Mus musculus: one gene and its partners. Each later gene encodes a partner of the first gene's protein in a complex. Links are inferred from orthologs where the notes say so. Each region holds a gene or a part of one and is shown in the gene's direction. Other genes may lie near its edges.

Region 1 (4,918 bases):
CAGCTTGATTCTTTAAGCTGTCTAAGAAAGCAGGAAAGTAGTTCATAGTCTGTGTTCAAAGTGGAAGTTGGCAAAACTATAGCTATAAGTTTTTCTTTTAATGAACACAGTTATATAGATTGGTTTATGCACTTCTTATAGCTATTATTGTCCTGCTGTGGCTGTGGCAGAACTGAGTTGTTTTTTTGTTTTTTTAAGATTTATTTATTATCATAAGTACGCTGTAGCTGTCTTCAGATGTACCAGAAAAGGGTATCATCAGATCTCAGTATGGGTGGTTGTGAGCCACCATGTGGTTGCTGAGATTTGAACTCAGTACCTTTGGAAGAGCAGACAGTGGTCTTAACTGCTGAGCCATCTTGACAGCCCAGAACTGAGTATTTTTTAACAAGGGTTACATGGCTCACTAGCCTACAGTATTGCGTGTGTGGTACCAGATGTTCAGCCCTTGAAGAAAAGGTTGCTCACCTCTTTTTTAGAGCCTTGCTCTCTGACAGCCGCTCCTACGGGTGCTGAGTCCCTGGCCTGCCCACAGTATCCGCAGTTCTCCCAGTGCTTACTGTATCTCAGAAGCACTGCTGTTGGCGGTGTAAACTTACTGTGCGTAAAGCCCACAAGGGAAGGCTTCTTTGCTCTAACCTGGTCAGAACCGTCATGTATTTGTAAGGAGATTTGTGGTATCATCAAAGGACTCACTCACAAGTGTTAAACAGTCCACACTCAGTGTATATTTCTACTAAAAGCTGTCTTTGTTCTTTAGGATTCCTTGGCTTAAGGGTCCCTCTCTTGTCTTTACTCGGCATGTTAAGACTGTATACTTGTACAGTTTGCATCTTTCTGTTCTTTAGGATGAGATCCATCTTCTACATGATGACAGAGGTCCTGTCTTAGAAGCTTTGGTGGCCAGGGCCATCCGAAACATTGAGATGACCCAAGAAGATGTCCGACTCATTGGTCTCAGTGCTACCCTCCCCAACTATGAAGATGTGGCCACCTTTCTGCGAGTCGACCCTGCTAAGGGCCTCTTCTACTTTGATAACAGGTATAAAAAGAAACTGGAAACTTGTTACCCAGGCAGTCTTCCTGTTCCCTACTCTTCTCTAAGGAGCATACTATTGAGTTTTAGGGTTCCTGTGTGTATTTTAGAAAGCATTGTTTCTAGGTCAATGGAAAGTAACTTCTCTCACAGTGTTCTCTGCCAGAAATCTCATTTGTATAACTGTTGAACTTCTAGCTTCCGCCCCGTGCCTCTGGAACAAACATATGTGGGCATCACAGAGAAAAAAGCTATCAAACGTTTCCAGATCATGAATGAAATAGTCTATGAGAAAATCATGGAACATGCTGGAAAAAATCAGGTTTGTGGATGGTTCTTGAACCTTTTCCTTTTTTTTTTTTGGTTTTTCGAGACAGGGTTTCTCTGTGTAGCCCTGGCTGTCCTGGAACTCACTCTCTCACTCTGTAGACCAGGCTGGCCTTGAACTCAGAAATCCACCTGCCTCTGCCTCTCAAGTGCTGGGATTAAAGGTGTGCTCCACCACGCCCAGCTCCTTTTCCATTTTTAACTTAAACTAATAGACAAGGTAATAGCATGACTCACCAGTGATCAGAAATAATATGAGTTACTATATTACTACAGCTGCTTTAAAAGATGGTCAGGGTCTGGAGAGATGGCTCAGTGGTTAAGAGCACTGACTGCTCTTCCAAAGGTCCTGAGTTCAAATCCCAGCAAACCACATGGTGGCTCATAACCATCCATAATGAGATCTGATGCCCTCTTGTGGTGTGTCTGAAGACAGCTACAGTGTACTTACATATAGTAAATAAATAAATAAATAAATAAACAAACCTTAAAAAAAAGAAGAAGAAGAAAATGGTCAGGAGCTAGGAGAGTCAGCACATGCCTCTAATACCATAGCTTAGGTTGCTGAGGCAGGAGGACCTCAAGCCAGCTGGAGGCCAGTTTGGATTATACAATGGTACCCCCCTACCCCTATTCCCCTCATGGTCCCACTCCCCTCCCCCCCAAAAAAAATCCAAAAAATGACTGGGGACTTGGAATGGAACTCAGTGGTAGAACATATACATAGCATGTTGACCCCGGTTCATTGCATTTTCCATCACTGCATAAATGGGAGATGGAATACTGTCAACAATCACTCATAAACTGGCCAGTTTATGGGGTAGATAGATGGCTCAGTGGTTAAGAGCATTGTCTACTCACAAAGGACAATTGAAGCTCAGACCAGTCTATCAACTCTAGATCTGACCTCTCCTAGCCTCTGTGAACATCAGGCATATATATGTTGTATGGACATATGCGCATATAAAACATTCATTTCATAAAGTAAATAAAAATTAACAATAACTAAATAAACTTATAACTTAGAAGAATTGGATCATTTCCTGAAAACAACTATCACTATAGCCTAGATGAAAGATAATTTGAATAGTCCTGTGATCGTAAATGATAACTTCATAGTTGATACTATCCTCCCCCAAATTGGTGGAACTAGAAAAACCAGTCTGTCTATAAGATAGCAAAACTGTAGCTGAAAATTATTAGAACCTAGTGAAATCAGGCCAGTGAGATGGCTCTGCAGGTAACGGCGCTTGCCCCCAAGACTGGTGACCTGAGTTTGATCCCCAGAACATAATTGGTGATGGAGAGAGTTGATCACTACTCTGACACACAAAATAATTTTTTTAAGATTTATTTATTATATGTAAGTAAACTGTAGCTGTCTTCAGACACACCAGAAGAGGGCATCTGATCTCATTACAGATGGTTGTGAGCCACCATGTGGTTACTGGGATTTGAACTCAGGACCTCCAGAAGAGCAGTCAATGCTCTTAACCAGAAAAAGAAATGCATAGCTTCTTACTGCCTGCCTTAGTTAATACTGCTAACTAGTAGTAGTGTGCCACTACTGCCCGACATATAATTTCATTCGTTCGTTTGTTCACTTATTTATTTGTTTTCTTTCTCTTTTTTTTTGAATGTTACTTTGATAACAGTTTTTAGTTAGCAGTATTAAATAAGGTAGGCAGTAAGAAGCTATGCATTTTTTTTTTCTGATAAAAAGCACAGGAGTTTATATGACAGGGTAGGACTTCAGGACACTAGATCTCAGGAGGACTGTTTCATATAATGTGGAACTAGTTTCAAACTATTTAAATATTTTTATAAATAATGTAATAGTTTTGGTATTATTTTGAAAATACACCTTTATTTAGCTTAGACTTGCTAAGGCTCTGACCATATTCTTGATTGAGGTCTTTGAATCTCAATACACTGTGTATTTAGATTTATTGTTCAATGTAGAATTCTAGGGTTAGTTTAGTTTCTTAGCTGTGAGACTGTGCCACTATCCTTGGTACATTCCTTCCCCTGTGTGTCCTGGGCTGGGCTTAAACTCTGTGTAGCCCTACTCATAGCCTGGAATTTAGCTGTGACCTTGAGTGCAGAATTAGAGCTGGAGTTACCATGCCCAGCTTCCCTTTGGTACTGTCAGCCCTGTTAGACTTCTTTCCAAACTAGCATGTATTTTTGCCATAGACACTTTTCTAACCCATCGCTTCTGTTTCTAGTGGAGCAGCTTCTGCTTCCTGTAGCTGGTGCCCTGGTGCTCTGAGAGCAGCTGCTGAAGGTGCACCTTTTAGCTCTTGCATGATTCTTCTTAGGTGCTCGTGTTTGTCCATTCTCGAAAAGAAACTGGGAAGACAGCAAGGGCAATCCGTGACATGTGTCTGGAGAAGGACACTTTGGGTCTGTTTCTTCGCGAGGGTTCTGCCTCCACTGAAGTCCTTCGTACAGAAGCAGAGCAGTGCAAGGTAAGAAGGGACCATCTGCTTCTCTGGTGACTGGTTCCATATTGGGTAGAGTCCTTTGGGACCATATGTACTGAGTGCTTCTGTTCAGGCAGGTTAAAAGTCATTTTCTTGGGGCTAGGGAAATGACTCAGCAGATAAAGGTGCCTGTCGCCAATCCTAATGGCCTGAGTTCAATCTCTGGGACTCACATAGTAGAAGAAGAGAACTGACTTTCATACACATGCCACACACAGGCATATATACAAACCTAAGAATATAAGTGTGTTAAAAGGGACTGTGTGGTTATGGGACTTCCTTTTGGCCTTGGAGGAGTCCTAGCAGGAGGCCGGCCTCACTCTGTTTCTGTTCACAGAACTTGGAGCTGAAGGATCTTTTGCCCTATGGCTTTGCTATTCATCATGCAGGCATGACTAGAGTTGACCGAACACTTGTAGAAGATCTTTTTGCTGACAAGCATATTCAGGTGAGGAGGGGCAAACCTAGTAGAAACAGACTTGTCTGTAGCTCTGCCCTGAGAGACTTGTCTGTAGCTCTGCCCTGAGAGACTTGTCTGTAGCTCTGCCCTGAGTGTTATCTCTAACCTTTTGTTAAAAAGAGAGTCATTTATATGTATTTGTGTGTGTGTGTGTGTGTGTGTGTGTGTGTGTGTGTGTGTGTGTGTGAGACTTGAACGAGTTTATGTGCACCACATGCATGCAGATGCTCTCAGAGGCCAGAGGAGGGCACCAGATCCCTTGGAACTGAAGTTACATATTCTTGTGAGCATATGTGGGTTCTGGGACCTGAAGCCTAGTCCTCTGCAAAAGTAGTACATGTTCCAGCCACTGAGCCGGTCTCCGTCTCTAAACATTTTGAGATCTGGACCAGCTAGCCTAGCCCAGGCTGGAAGGTTGTGATAGTTATGCTCACTCTCCCCACACTTCATACACTGCATAAGAGAGGATGGATGCTTCATAGAACTCTACAGTGTAATTCACAGTGTCAGGACCACATTCTTTCCCTCTTCCAGGTTGGTAGATTTTGAATGTTTTATAACTGAGTTGATAAATACAAGTTTAAACTTCTGACCTATGTCTCTGGAACC
Region 2 (5,450 bases), on another chromosome or scaffold:
CAAAACTGTGATTCTCATTGTCACCTCATATGCTGGCCTTAGAATCTTTCTCCATGTAAGATGTCAATCATTACTGGACATTAGTGGATATACATATTGAGTCATGGTTGATCATACCTCACTTGGGACTATAGATAATAAAAATCAGAACATAAGCAAAATTACTATATAATTATAAATTATGATAAACTATGAGAGAGGTGAGTGGGGTGGCCAAGAAAGTGTTTTTTTGTTTTGTTTTGTTTTGGTCTCACTGTATATTCTTGGTTGACCTGTAACTCAATATGTAGACTAGGAGGACTTGAACTTACAGAACTTACCAGCCTCTGCCTCCCAAGTACTGGTAGTTTTGTTTAGTTTTGATTTGCTTTTGAGACATGGTTTCTCTACTCACTGTAGACCAGGCTGGCCTCAGACTCATAGAGATCTGCTTGCTTCTGCCTCCCAAGTGTACACCACCATACTGGGCTAAAAGATCTTTTGAGGTAAGATTTATTTGGAAGGCAGAAGTTATGAAGTAAGAAGCTGACAGGATGACTGCCTTTGGCTAACTGGGTGGATGGTGGTCCTTGTTAATCCTGCCAAATGAGAATCAGACCAGTGACCCAGATTTTTTGGTTGCATTTTCAGTTAGACAGGGTTATCTCCCTAAAGTAGGATTTGAGAGCATAGTCTCAAAGGAGAATTTTTTTTTTTAATATCCCCCAAACTGCAAGGCTAGGGGGTTTCTAATGTTTTATGTTTATGTAGGAATTTGACAAGACATCTTAAAATTATTTGGTTGAAGATCTTATCAGGAGGTTAGGGTTAGGGTATGGAACATACCATTTAGCATCAAAGTGGAGATTTGGAACAAGGAAATTAAGAATTCTTTGATCAGCCAGGCGGTGGTGGCACACACCTTTAATCCCAGCACTTGGGAGGCAGAGGCAGTGGATTTCTGAGTTCCAGGCCAGCCTGATCTATAGAGTGAGCACCAGGACAGCCAGGGCTACACAGAGAAACCCTGTCTCAAAAAACAAAAACAAACAAAAACCCAGCTTAGGGTGGAGAGATGCCTTAACAAATAAGAGCTGTGCAAGTCTGGCAAAGAGAACCAACTCCTCACTTGTCCTCTGAGCTCTACACTTGTGGCATGGCCACTATTTAACCACACACACAATTTTAAAAAGGAAACTTGGGGCCGGGCATGGTGGCACACTCCTCTAGTCCCAGCACTCGGGAGGCAGAGGCAGGCGGATTTCTGAGTTCGAGGCCAGCCTGGTCTACAGAGTGAGTTCCAGGACAGCCAGGGCTACACAGAGAAACCCTGTTTCGAAATACCAAAAAAAAAAAAAAAAAAGGAGACTTGGGACCCATTCTCCCGGCACATGAGACCCAGACCAAAGATCTGGCCACAGAAGGAGCAGAGAGGGCTTGGTCATCTGCCAGCTGATGGGCCTGAAGGGCGTGGGGACCGAACGAGAGAAGAGTTGAGTATACACATGGACATGGCTTTAGAGAAGGTGAAAAAGGTTGAAGATCTTTAGATACAAAGGAGGTGAGTCTGAGTGAGTCTGCCTAGCATAGCATGGACTGAACAAGTAGCCAGACAGTGCATAGAAAAGTTTTTGAGGGCTTGGGGGAGGCAACGCAGTATGGTGGGAGACAGGAAAAGTGGATTCTACTCAAAGTTAGCAAGCTTCAGCCTAGCACGGTGCCTGCACCCAGCACCTGGACACCTGGAAACCACAATTCCCAGAATGCTTTCTTCCAACTTCCGGGATCCAGTGCGTCGATCTCCGGAAGTAGTTGAGAAAGCGGAGGCGCCATAGTCAGTGTCTGCTGTGGTCTCTTCGGTTTGTTGCCACCATGGGGAAGCGACAGCACCAGAAGGACAAGATGTAAGTTGGGTCGCGTCTCTCGTCTCAGCTCGTCGCCGTGCTGAAGGCTATCATCTGAAAGCCTCAGCTCTCACAGGCGCGGTCTCGTCCCTCAGTGCAGCCTACGCGGGCCAGGGCGTTCTACCGCCGGACTAACTAACTTCCGGGATTTCCCTACCCCTAGCCTTTCTGCGAACGAGTTTTGCCCCTGAGTTGGTTGTCCGCTTCGTCCTGGCTCTAGTCTGAGAGCCTACACACAGGCGACAGCCTTCAAGTTGAAGATAGGCGGGTCGTGCTCCATGTTCCCCTCCCATTTGCTGCTGCTGTACTTTCTGTTTTCTGTTGTCTCTTCAGATGCTCCCCGCCCCTAGCTGCTTGCAAGGATATCTTTGACTTCTGTATTGCCAGATCTAGTATCCAGCTTTTCAGTCCTTGGGCTTCTTCCCTTTCCAAAAGTAGCCTTTAGTGAGATCTTACATGCGCTTAGTAGTTTTTTTTGTTTGTTTTTGTTTTTGTTTTTGTTTTTCAAGATAGGGTTTCTCTGTGTAGCCCTGGCTGTCCTGGAACTCACTTTGTAGATCAGGCTGGCCTCGAACTCAGAAATCCCCTTGCCTCTGCCTCCCGAGTGCTAGGATTAAAGGCTTGGCGCTTAGTAATTTAATCTGCGAATGATCTCTATTTCATTCCTCTTTGCTGGGCTTCCCCTCCCCTTGTCCCAGACCTCGGGGGTGTTTCCTTCATCCCTGTGGTGGATCTGTTCAAAGAGTCTCTTGCACTAAGTCAGCAGCTTTCACTCAGTTCTCCACTTGGAAAACTTACAGCTTTTTCAAAACTAGTATGCTAAAAGGGAACTTGATAATTTTCACACCTAAGCCTGCCGTTTCTTATCCTAGCTCAGTGGTTACATAGTGGGTCCCTGATTTACTATATATAGACTGAAGACAATTCTCATCCTAACAGAAGAACAACCGCACAGAGCAACTGGAGCTATGTTAGATCATGTCTGGGTCCTGCTCAAAATCACCCACCAGCTTCCCATCACACTTAGGCAAATAGAGAGTACTCTCCTTGATCTTTGACTCATTTTTGACTCGGCCGCTGTCCTTGCTTCTGTGTCTTTTTCTGCTGCTACGTACCTCATCACACTCTTCCTCTGCTGTCTCCTTTCTGGAACAGATTCAGCTTGTCCTGTTCCAGCCTCAGTAAGTGTTATTCCTGTAAAGGGCTTCCCCAGAGCTTTGTGTGCCTAGCTCTTCCTGTCAGATAGTCTATAAGTCCAGTTCATTTCCTTCTGGACAAGGTGCTGTTGATGTTTCTTTATCTCTCCATCTTTTGTCCTTCTTATGTGCCACACAATGCAGATGTTTAATGTGATTTGACAAGTGAGTGGGCGTTCTGTCATAAGTTACTTTTACAGCTTCTGTCCTGTCCGTGGCAGGACCCAGTAACACATGCTCTGTCTTCCTCAGGTATATCACTTGTGCTGAGTACACTCATTTCTATGGTGGCAGGAAGCCAGGTAAGGGGATGCTGGTGGTCCTGAAGAATGCTGTCTCCTGTGATCCAGAGCTATCCAGAACACTGACATTATAGTAGATAACGAGACGGTCCATAGTTGATAAAAAGAGGACATATACTCAACATAGTACAGTATACTTCCATCTTAGAGGAGAATACTTAAAAATATAACTCTTTCAAGTTCAGGCCTTTTCCTTAGGAAGTGCTATAGCCTTCTTTCTTTCTTTCTTTCTTTCTTTCTTTCTTTCTTTCTTTTTTGTTTTTTGTTTTTTTGTTTTTTTTTGTTTTTTTTTGAGGCAGAATTTCTCTGTGTAGCCTTGGATGTCCTGGAACTCACTCTGTCTGTAGACCAGGCTGCCCTCAAAGTCAGAATCCGCCTGCCTCTGCTTCCCAAGTGCTGGGATTAAAGGCGTGCACTGCCACTGCCCAGCAACCTTATTCTTTATAGGAGGAAAAAAGGAAGGTTAATATCCAAAGTTGCCAAGGCTGTAGAAAAAAGGATTTATTTTATGTGCATTGGTGTTTTGCCTGCATGTATGTTTGTGTGAGGGTGTTAGATCCCCTGGAACTAGAGTTACAGATGGCTGTCAGCTGCCCTGTGGGTGTTGGGAACATGGGTCCTCTGGAATAGCAGCCAGTGCTCGTAACTGTTATCTCCAGCCCCATAAATATATATATATTTTTTTCTCTTTTAAAGATAGTCTTATTATGTAGCTCAAGCTGGTCTTGAACTCAAGATCTTTCTTCCTCTGCCTCACCAGTGCTGGAATTGATTTGTGATTTGATAATATCAAAAGATGCTATGTGAATCCAGGTATAGTGGTGCATGCTTTTAATTCCTGGACAGCCAGAGCTATACAGAGAAGTACCATCTCAAAAAAGCAAACAACAGGGCTGGAGAGATGGCTCAGTGGGTAAGAGCACCTGACTGCTCTTCCAAAGGTCCAGAGTTCAAATCCCAGCAACCACATGGTGGCTCACAACCATCCATAATGAGATCTGACTCCCTCTTCTGGAGTGTCTGAAGACAGCTATAGTGTACTTACATATAATAAATAAATCTAAAAAAAAAAAAAAAAAAAAAAAAGCAAACAACAACAAAAAGGCCCTGCATGTGTTTGTAGACTAGAGGTCATTGTGTGTTGTCCTCATTGATAATCCATCTTAAAAAATCTGTTTTCATACTATTTTTTAAGACTTATATGTATGTATGTATGTATGTGTGTGTGTGTATTTGTCTACGTGAGTACATGCACATGAATGTGGGTACCCTGGAGTCCAGAGGAGAGTGGGTGCTGGGAACGAAGCTCTGGTCTTCTGCAATAGCATCAAGTGCTCTTAACCTCTGAGCTATTTCTCCAGCTCCTTGTTTGTTTTCAAAACAGGATCTCCATGTGGCCTTGGCTGCCCTGGAACTCACTATGTAGATTGAGCTGGTCTTGAACTCATAGAAATTTACCTGCCTCTGCCTCCAACTGCTAGGATTAAAGGTGTGTTTCACTTCTCAGCTCATCTTGTGTTGAGACAAGAGTCTGTCACTAAACCTAGAGCTCAATGATGGGCTAGACTGGCTTGTCAGTAAGTTGCTTCCGTCTCTACCTCCAGTGAAGTACACTGAGCCACTGAGCCATTTTTCTAGCACCTATTATTTTGAGGTGTGTGAGTGTGCGTGCATGCATGAATAGATACCTGCCCTTAGAGGCCAGAGGTGTTAGGTTCCCTGGTGAGTTACAGGCAGTTGTGAACCACCATGTGAGTGTTAAGAACTGAGCTCAAGTCTTGTATAAGAGCAGAATATATTCTTAACTGCCTAGCCATCTTTCTGAACCCTACCAGAAGATTTTTTTTTTCTTTTTTCTCCAAGATAGAGTTTCTCTGTGTAGCCCTGGCTGTCCTAGAACTTGCATTGTATACCAGGCTGGCCTTGAATGCAGAGATCTGCCTGCCTCTGCTTCCCATGTGGTGGGACTAAAGGTGAGTGGCACCACTGGCTAGCAACTACCAAAAGATTCTTAATTTAGGGCCTGGAGGTATAGTTCAGTGATGAAACTAGCATATAGCATATATAAG
Region 3 (5,623 bases), on another chromosome or scaffold:
TCAAGGCTCCCGCCCCCGCCCCCACTCTGTGTGCAGAAGCATGGGCTAGCCAAGCCTCCCTTGAGGGCTGACGGCAACTTTGCTGGAACTCACCCAGTCTTGCTGCAGGGGTCCAAGTTCCCCGTCATGGGCTGCTTCTTCCCTAGGTATCTCAGATCCTCACATCACAAACCCTTTGGTCCCCATCTCAGAGCTGGATTCTGGGGTGACAGATACTCTCTAATCTTAGACATGAGGTCAGCAGACCCATTGACATATTTCTCTTTTCCTTATTAGTGACAGAGTAAAGTAGACCCGGCTGTTGTTGAACTGTCCATGAAGTGGAGGATGGTCTTGAACCTGTGCTTCTCCAGCAGTGCCTCCACAGTGCTGAGATAGTGCCCATTCTGCTCAGGCGCTGCTCCTCAGCACTTACTGCTTTACTTTATTGTTAGCGGTGGGGGTGGGGGCGGGAGCTCAGGGCTTCTATCCCTCCCGCTGAGCTGCAGTCTTAGTGCGGGAGTCTCACTCCATCACTTAGAAGAGCCCTGGGGAGTGTGCCAAGGGAGTCTCCCGGGTCAGAGGATCCCAACAAGTGAACTCATCGCTAACATTCTGTACCAGGGCCTTTCAGCAGCTTGGTCAAACAGCTGTCCTGCTTGGGACAGCTCAGGGTGGAGCTCTGATTCCATAACCAGTAGCCAAAGAAAATAAAAATAAATAGAAGGGCTAGGAGATGGCTCCATGGGTAAAAATGCTTCCTGATGAGAAGGCTAGGCTGACTTCATGACAAGCTTCAAACTGGCAGTTAAGGAGAGGTGGCCTAAATCTGTTTCCAAGAACTGGCCAATTCCAGACAAGTCCAGGCCTCAGAAGCTGCCCCACCACCTGGCCTGAGGCAAGGACAATGGGTAAGCAACAGTTTCCAGACCTCCCCAGTAAGTTTCCAGCCCCCGCAGCCCTGCCATGGAACGTCCATAGAGATGGACCTCACAGATTAACATAGAGGTCACCTGCCCCGGAATTTCCTAATGTGCTTTAAATCAAACCTCCAAGTTAACATGGGTGTCTATTTTGGTAATTCGAGACTCCAGCATGCTCAACTTCTGCATAATAAGACACTCTTTGAGTTTTCATACTATTTGAGTCCGGAATATCATTCTTTGGCACCCCTACTGGGCAAGCATGAGAACCTGAATTTGTAGCTCAAGAAGACACATTAAACCATGGTGGTGCACACCTGCAATCCCAGCACTCACTAGGATCTCTGGAAGGTCGATACCAGCCTGGTCTACATTGTGTGTTCAAGGCCAGCTAGGGATGTACAGAGAAACACTATGTTCCTCCCAAAATGATAATGATTTTTTTTAAAGCAAGGATTAAAGCTTGATGGCCCACAGTGGCCATCCAGCAGTGGAGAAGCCGAGTCGGGGTCTAATGCAAGTTCATGATCGGCTAGCTTCAGCTGCCACAGAAGCCCATCTCAAAACAGGAAAATCCCAGAGATTTGTTTTCACTTCCTGTCGCCAGGGAACGCCAGACCTGCCGTTCGTGTTCAAAGATTCTATTTGAGTTGGTAAAGACAAAGAGATCCATAAGGGCAAGAATGGAAGGCTAGAGCTGGGCAGTGGTGGCGCACGCCTTTAATCCCAGCACTTGGTGGGCAGAGGCAGGCGGATTTCTGAGTTCGAGGCCAGCCTGGTCTAGAGTGAGTTCCAGGAACAGCCAGAGCTACACAGAGAAGCAATGTCTCGAAAACAAAACAAAACAAAACAAAGAATGAAAGGCTAGGAGCGCAAAATAGGCACCGCGCGACTCGCATGCATTAGCCAGCTTCGCCCACAGTGTGGCGCCGAATTAGGCGCCGAACCAGATCCAGGAGAGCACCTCTGCGCAGGCGCCCTTTCCCAACATACACCCCGTAGTGGGCGTAACTTGTGCTGCGGCCTTTTGCGTCGTTCTAGTGTCGCACTTTACGGCTACCTCTCAATCCCACCGTAGAAATACGGTGAGGCCGTCCGTCTTGTTCCGTAGGTACCGCCCTAGCCCGTCCCGATTGGATAGATGTCCGTTGAGCTGCTCGCTGATTGGTCATAGTTTCTGCCAGTCTTTTTCAGTCTGGGGCGCGCGGTGGGCCGCCGGTGGGAGCGCGTGTGTCTGTGCCGCGGCGGAAGTTATCGCTGCAGGGAAGATGGTGAGGGCCGCGAGGCGGAGGGGCGCGCGCAGGGTCTTCGGGCTGCTGAGAGATGGGGGAAACTGAGGCCGGAGTGACCGGTGTCCCTCCAGGGCCCCAGACGGTCACCGTTGGGGATTTATCTCTTGATGGACACGGTTTTTGCGACCGGAAGAGGGACTATGATCGTTTCCGGGGCTTGTCACCGTCATTGATAGGAAAGCTGCGTTTCCGGGAAATGGGCGGGCTTAATGGCTCACGTGGGCTTCGTTGCCCTCTTGATGCTTATCTGGTGTCTGACCTCAGCTGCCCACGCCTTTGGCTGGAAATCCAGCTCAGAGAGCGGGTTGATTCTCTCCCTGGGACACACAGCATGTCTTGCTCAGGAAGAAAGGATTTTTTTTTTCTCCTAGTTTAGGCTCAGGCCTCCTCAGTTTGGGGACTCTTAGACCTGGCATAAACAAGTAAAGGAGGCCAGGTTTCCCCCTGCTCTGTCGAGGGGCGCGTTGGCCTAAGTGAGGAGAGCCACATATTCCCATCTCCCCAGTTCTTGATGGTAGGATATTTGGTTTGTTTTTTGGTTAGGCTTTCTGATCTGAACTGACATAATCCAGGCTAACCTCAAACTCCTGATCCTCTTGCTTCAGTCACTGGAGTATGGAAAGGACACGTGTATACTCCACATTTGAGTCAGGATGTGAGGCAGGGTCTCATATAGCCCAGGCTGCCTTTGAACTCCATTTGTATACATGCATCACTGTGAACTCCTGACCCTGCCTTTACTCCAGAATGACCCTGGGTTTTGTGGTGCAGGAACTCTAGGCCTAACACATGCTAGGTAAGCACTCCCCACTGGGTGTACCCTGAGCCTTCCTGAAGGGATGGCCAGGTGCGTCCAGGACTGGACACCCACCTCATGCAGGTGCGCACAGACACTCCCATATCTCTGCGGTCAGGCTGGTACAGGAGTGTCCCAGCTGAACATTCCTGAACTCAGAGCCCTAGACTTGGTTCTTTAGCTATCTCATCTACACACTGGATCCCAGAGAGTCTGGATGATGGCTGAGAAGGAATTTCCCTTCCTGGAACTGGCTCCTCTAATGGGAGGTGCTGGGACTGGATTCCAGAACGGGTGGCTATAACACCTGCAGCTGCTCTGTGTAAAGCTATGTCTCCTCCACTCAAAAGCCTGTGACTATCCCAGCTCCAGCCTCCCTGTCTGCCCTGGCCCATTTCACTCTGAGCTTTTTCTTCCTTCATTTTGGGGAGACATTCCTAATTACTTCTTTCATTCCTCTCTCCCACTGCACACACAGTAGGGGAGTGGGGGGTTGTGGTGGCCTGTCCCTACACCACACTTTTCTTACCTGTGGCACTGGACAGGATGCACCTGTGCTGGGTGTCCCCACCCCTGCGTGTTCAGCAAGTGTTTACTGCTCCTCCCTGCTGCAGCAGAGCCCACGCCCACACTGACCTTGTGTCTAGCCAGGGAGACTGATGCTAATCACCCATAATTAGAGAGCGGCTTCAGCTGCTGAGCTGGAAACAGGCTGGCAGCCTAGGGTGGCCATTAGGGTCCTGACCACAGGAGGGGACATGCTCAGCAGGATTGGGCAGAGAGTCTAGGGAAGGGCACCCTGGGTGGTGGCTGGGGCCCTGGCAGGAGGAACGAAAGTTGAGCAGTAAGGCTGGACCTTGCCATCGCTGCCTCCAGGCTGTGCTGGGCCATAGCAGTTCCGGAAGAGCTTTGTGTGCCTCTATTCTTGTTTAGCAATGTTTGCCCTTGAGCCCTTGCTGTGCCTTGTATTTGGGAGTTTGACTATTCTATTCCTTTATTGAAACAGGATCTCATGTAGCCCAGGTTAGCCTCACACTGTAGCCAAGGATAACCATGGCTCCAACTACCTGGAGCTTAGCCATAGGATGCTATACTGTGGCTCTTTTCTGCTGTTTATTTGAGGATCAGGGTGGACACCATTGTCACTGATCACCAAGGCCACCCACCCACCCACCAGCCATTTTCACAAAAGTCATCCTCTGCCTCCTACCCTTCCAGGAAGCCTCTGCAGGAAGTGGGCTAGAGCTTCACTTCCCTGCCACTAACTCCTCCCCGCCCCTCAGCTCTTCTTGGGAAGGGCCTTGTACTGTAGGCTCCCCCAGTCCTCTCATGACCCAAAGTCCCCATGCTGGGCATGATGGCCCTGAGGATCTGGGGCTCTTGTTGTTTGTTTCTTCTGTTTTTAAAATGATTTATTTTTATTTCATGTGTTTTGCCTGCATGCATGTGTCTGTGAGTGTGTTGGATCCCCCTGGAACAGGAGTTATAGATGTGTGAGCTACCATGTGGGTGCTGGGAATTGAACCCAGGTCATCCAGAAGAGCAGCCTGTGCTCTCACCTGCTGAGCCATGTCTCCAGCCCCTCGTGTAGTTGTTTGTTTGTTTCACTGTGTAACCCAGTTGGCCTGGAACTTATAGATAATTCACCTGCCTCTGCCTCTCAGTGCAGGGATTGAATGTGTGCACTGCATGCTTGGCTGTAATTTGATTTTTGTGTATTTTGAAGACAGGTCTAATGTAGTCCAGGCTGATCTCAGACTGTAGCTGAAAATAATCTAAAATTCCTTATCCCCCTGCCTCAGCCTCCCTGGCACTGGGATGACGGGTGTAGCACAACACACCTGGCTTTATGTTGGTCTTTATGATGCTGGCTCTGGAAGGCAAAGTGTCACTAGCCTTGCTGTCACCTTGACCTCAGCCCTGGGGCTCAGGCAACCCAAGTCACCTGTTCTGGAAGCACATGGACGGGATGTGAAGCAGGCTGGTGTGCAGTCCTGTGCATTTAGAAGGCTGTGGCCAGCCTGGGCTTATGACAAGATTCTGCCTCAGAAAAGCTACCTCCAGACAGAGGACTGTGCCCCGCTTCTGTGGTTCCAGGTGACAGAAATTGTGGAGAAATGACCAAAATGGTCCGGGAGGTCCAGGTGGCTCACATCTGTAGAATGGGATGATGTGAGGTTACCTGTGACCTGAAGACAGGCGAGTGCATTGGGGGTAGCCATGCCCATGTGGTCGTCCCTGAATTGAGGACTACACCTCACACTGACTTTTGCCTTCCAGCTTCCCTTGTCGCTGCTGAAGACAGCGCAGAATCACCCCATGGTAAGCACTCTGGGCCACCTCCCTTCATGTGCCCACAGCTCAGTCTTTTGCAGTTCATGATTGAAGGCCTGGCAAGATGTCTCAGTGGGTAAAGGTGCTTGCTGCCAAGCCGAAGGACCTGAGTTCAATCCCCAGGACCCATGTGATGATGGAGGGGTTCATGACTTCCCTGAAGTTGTTCTCTGCCCTGTCTGCACACAGACAGAATGGCAAATGCAATACAAAGGAAAACGTTCACAAAGAAATCTATAGCCGGGCATGGTGGTGCACGCCTTTAATCCCCGCACTTGGGAGGCAGAGGCAGGCGAATT

What was found.
Region 2: Snrnp200 (region 1) and Ppil2 share a complex: the UniProt entries of both Homo sapiens proteins name them as parts of the minor spliceosome. The link is inferred for Mus musculus from reciprocal best matches to the Homo sapiens genes SNRNP200 and PPIL2.
Region 3: Snrnp200 (region 1) and Lsm4 share a complex: the UniProt entries of both Homo sapiens proteins name them as parts of the U4/U6-U5 tri-snRNP complex. The link is inferred for Mus musculus from reciprocal best matches to the Homo sapiens genes SNRNP200 and LSM4.

Annotation. Positions count from the first base shown.
Region 1 is NC_000068.7:127,220,897-127,225,814, forward strand, and holds part of Snrnp200 (U5 small nuclear ribonucleoprotein 200 kDa helicase), read left to right. Parts: intron 1-848; coding exon 849-1,042; intron 1,043-1,234; coding exon 1,235-1,358; intron 1,359-3,684; coding exon 3,685-3,834; intron 3,835-4,186; coding exon 4,187-4,297; intron 4,298-4,918. UniProt on the Homo sapiens protein: Catalyzes the ATP-dependent unwinding of U4/U6 RNA duplices, an essential step in the assembly of a catalytically active spliceosome. Plays a role in pre-mRNA splicing as a core component of precatalytic, catalytic and postcatalytic spliceosomal complexes.
Region 2 is NC_000082.6:17,107,576-17,113,025, reverse strand, and holds the start of Ppil2 (RING-type E3 ubiquitin-protein ligase PPIL2), read left to right. Parts: upstream 1-1,773; 5' UTR 1,774-1,851; coding exon 1,852-1,883; intron 1,884-3,331; coding exon 3,332-3,381; intron 3,382-5,450. UniProt on the Homo sapiens protein: Has a ubiquitin-protein ligase activity acting as an E3 ubiquitin protein ligase or as an ubiquitin-ubiquitin ligase promoting elongation of ubiquitin chains on substrates.
Region 3 is NC_000074.6:70,671,285-70,676,907, forward strand, and holds the start of Lsm4 (U6 snRNA-associated Sm-like protein LSm4), read left to right. Parts: upstream 1-1,946; 5' UTR 1,947-2,170; coding exon 2,171-2,173; intron 2,174-5,270; coding exon 5,271-5,312; intron 5,313-5,623. UniProt on the Homo sapiens protein: Plays a role in pre-mRNA splicing as component of the U4/U6-U5 tri-snRNP complex that is involved in spliceosome assembly, and as component of the precatalytic spliceosome (spliceosome B complex).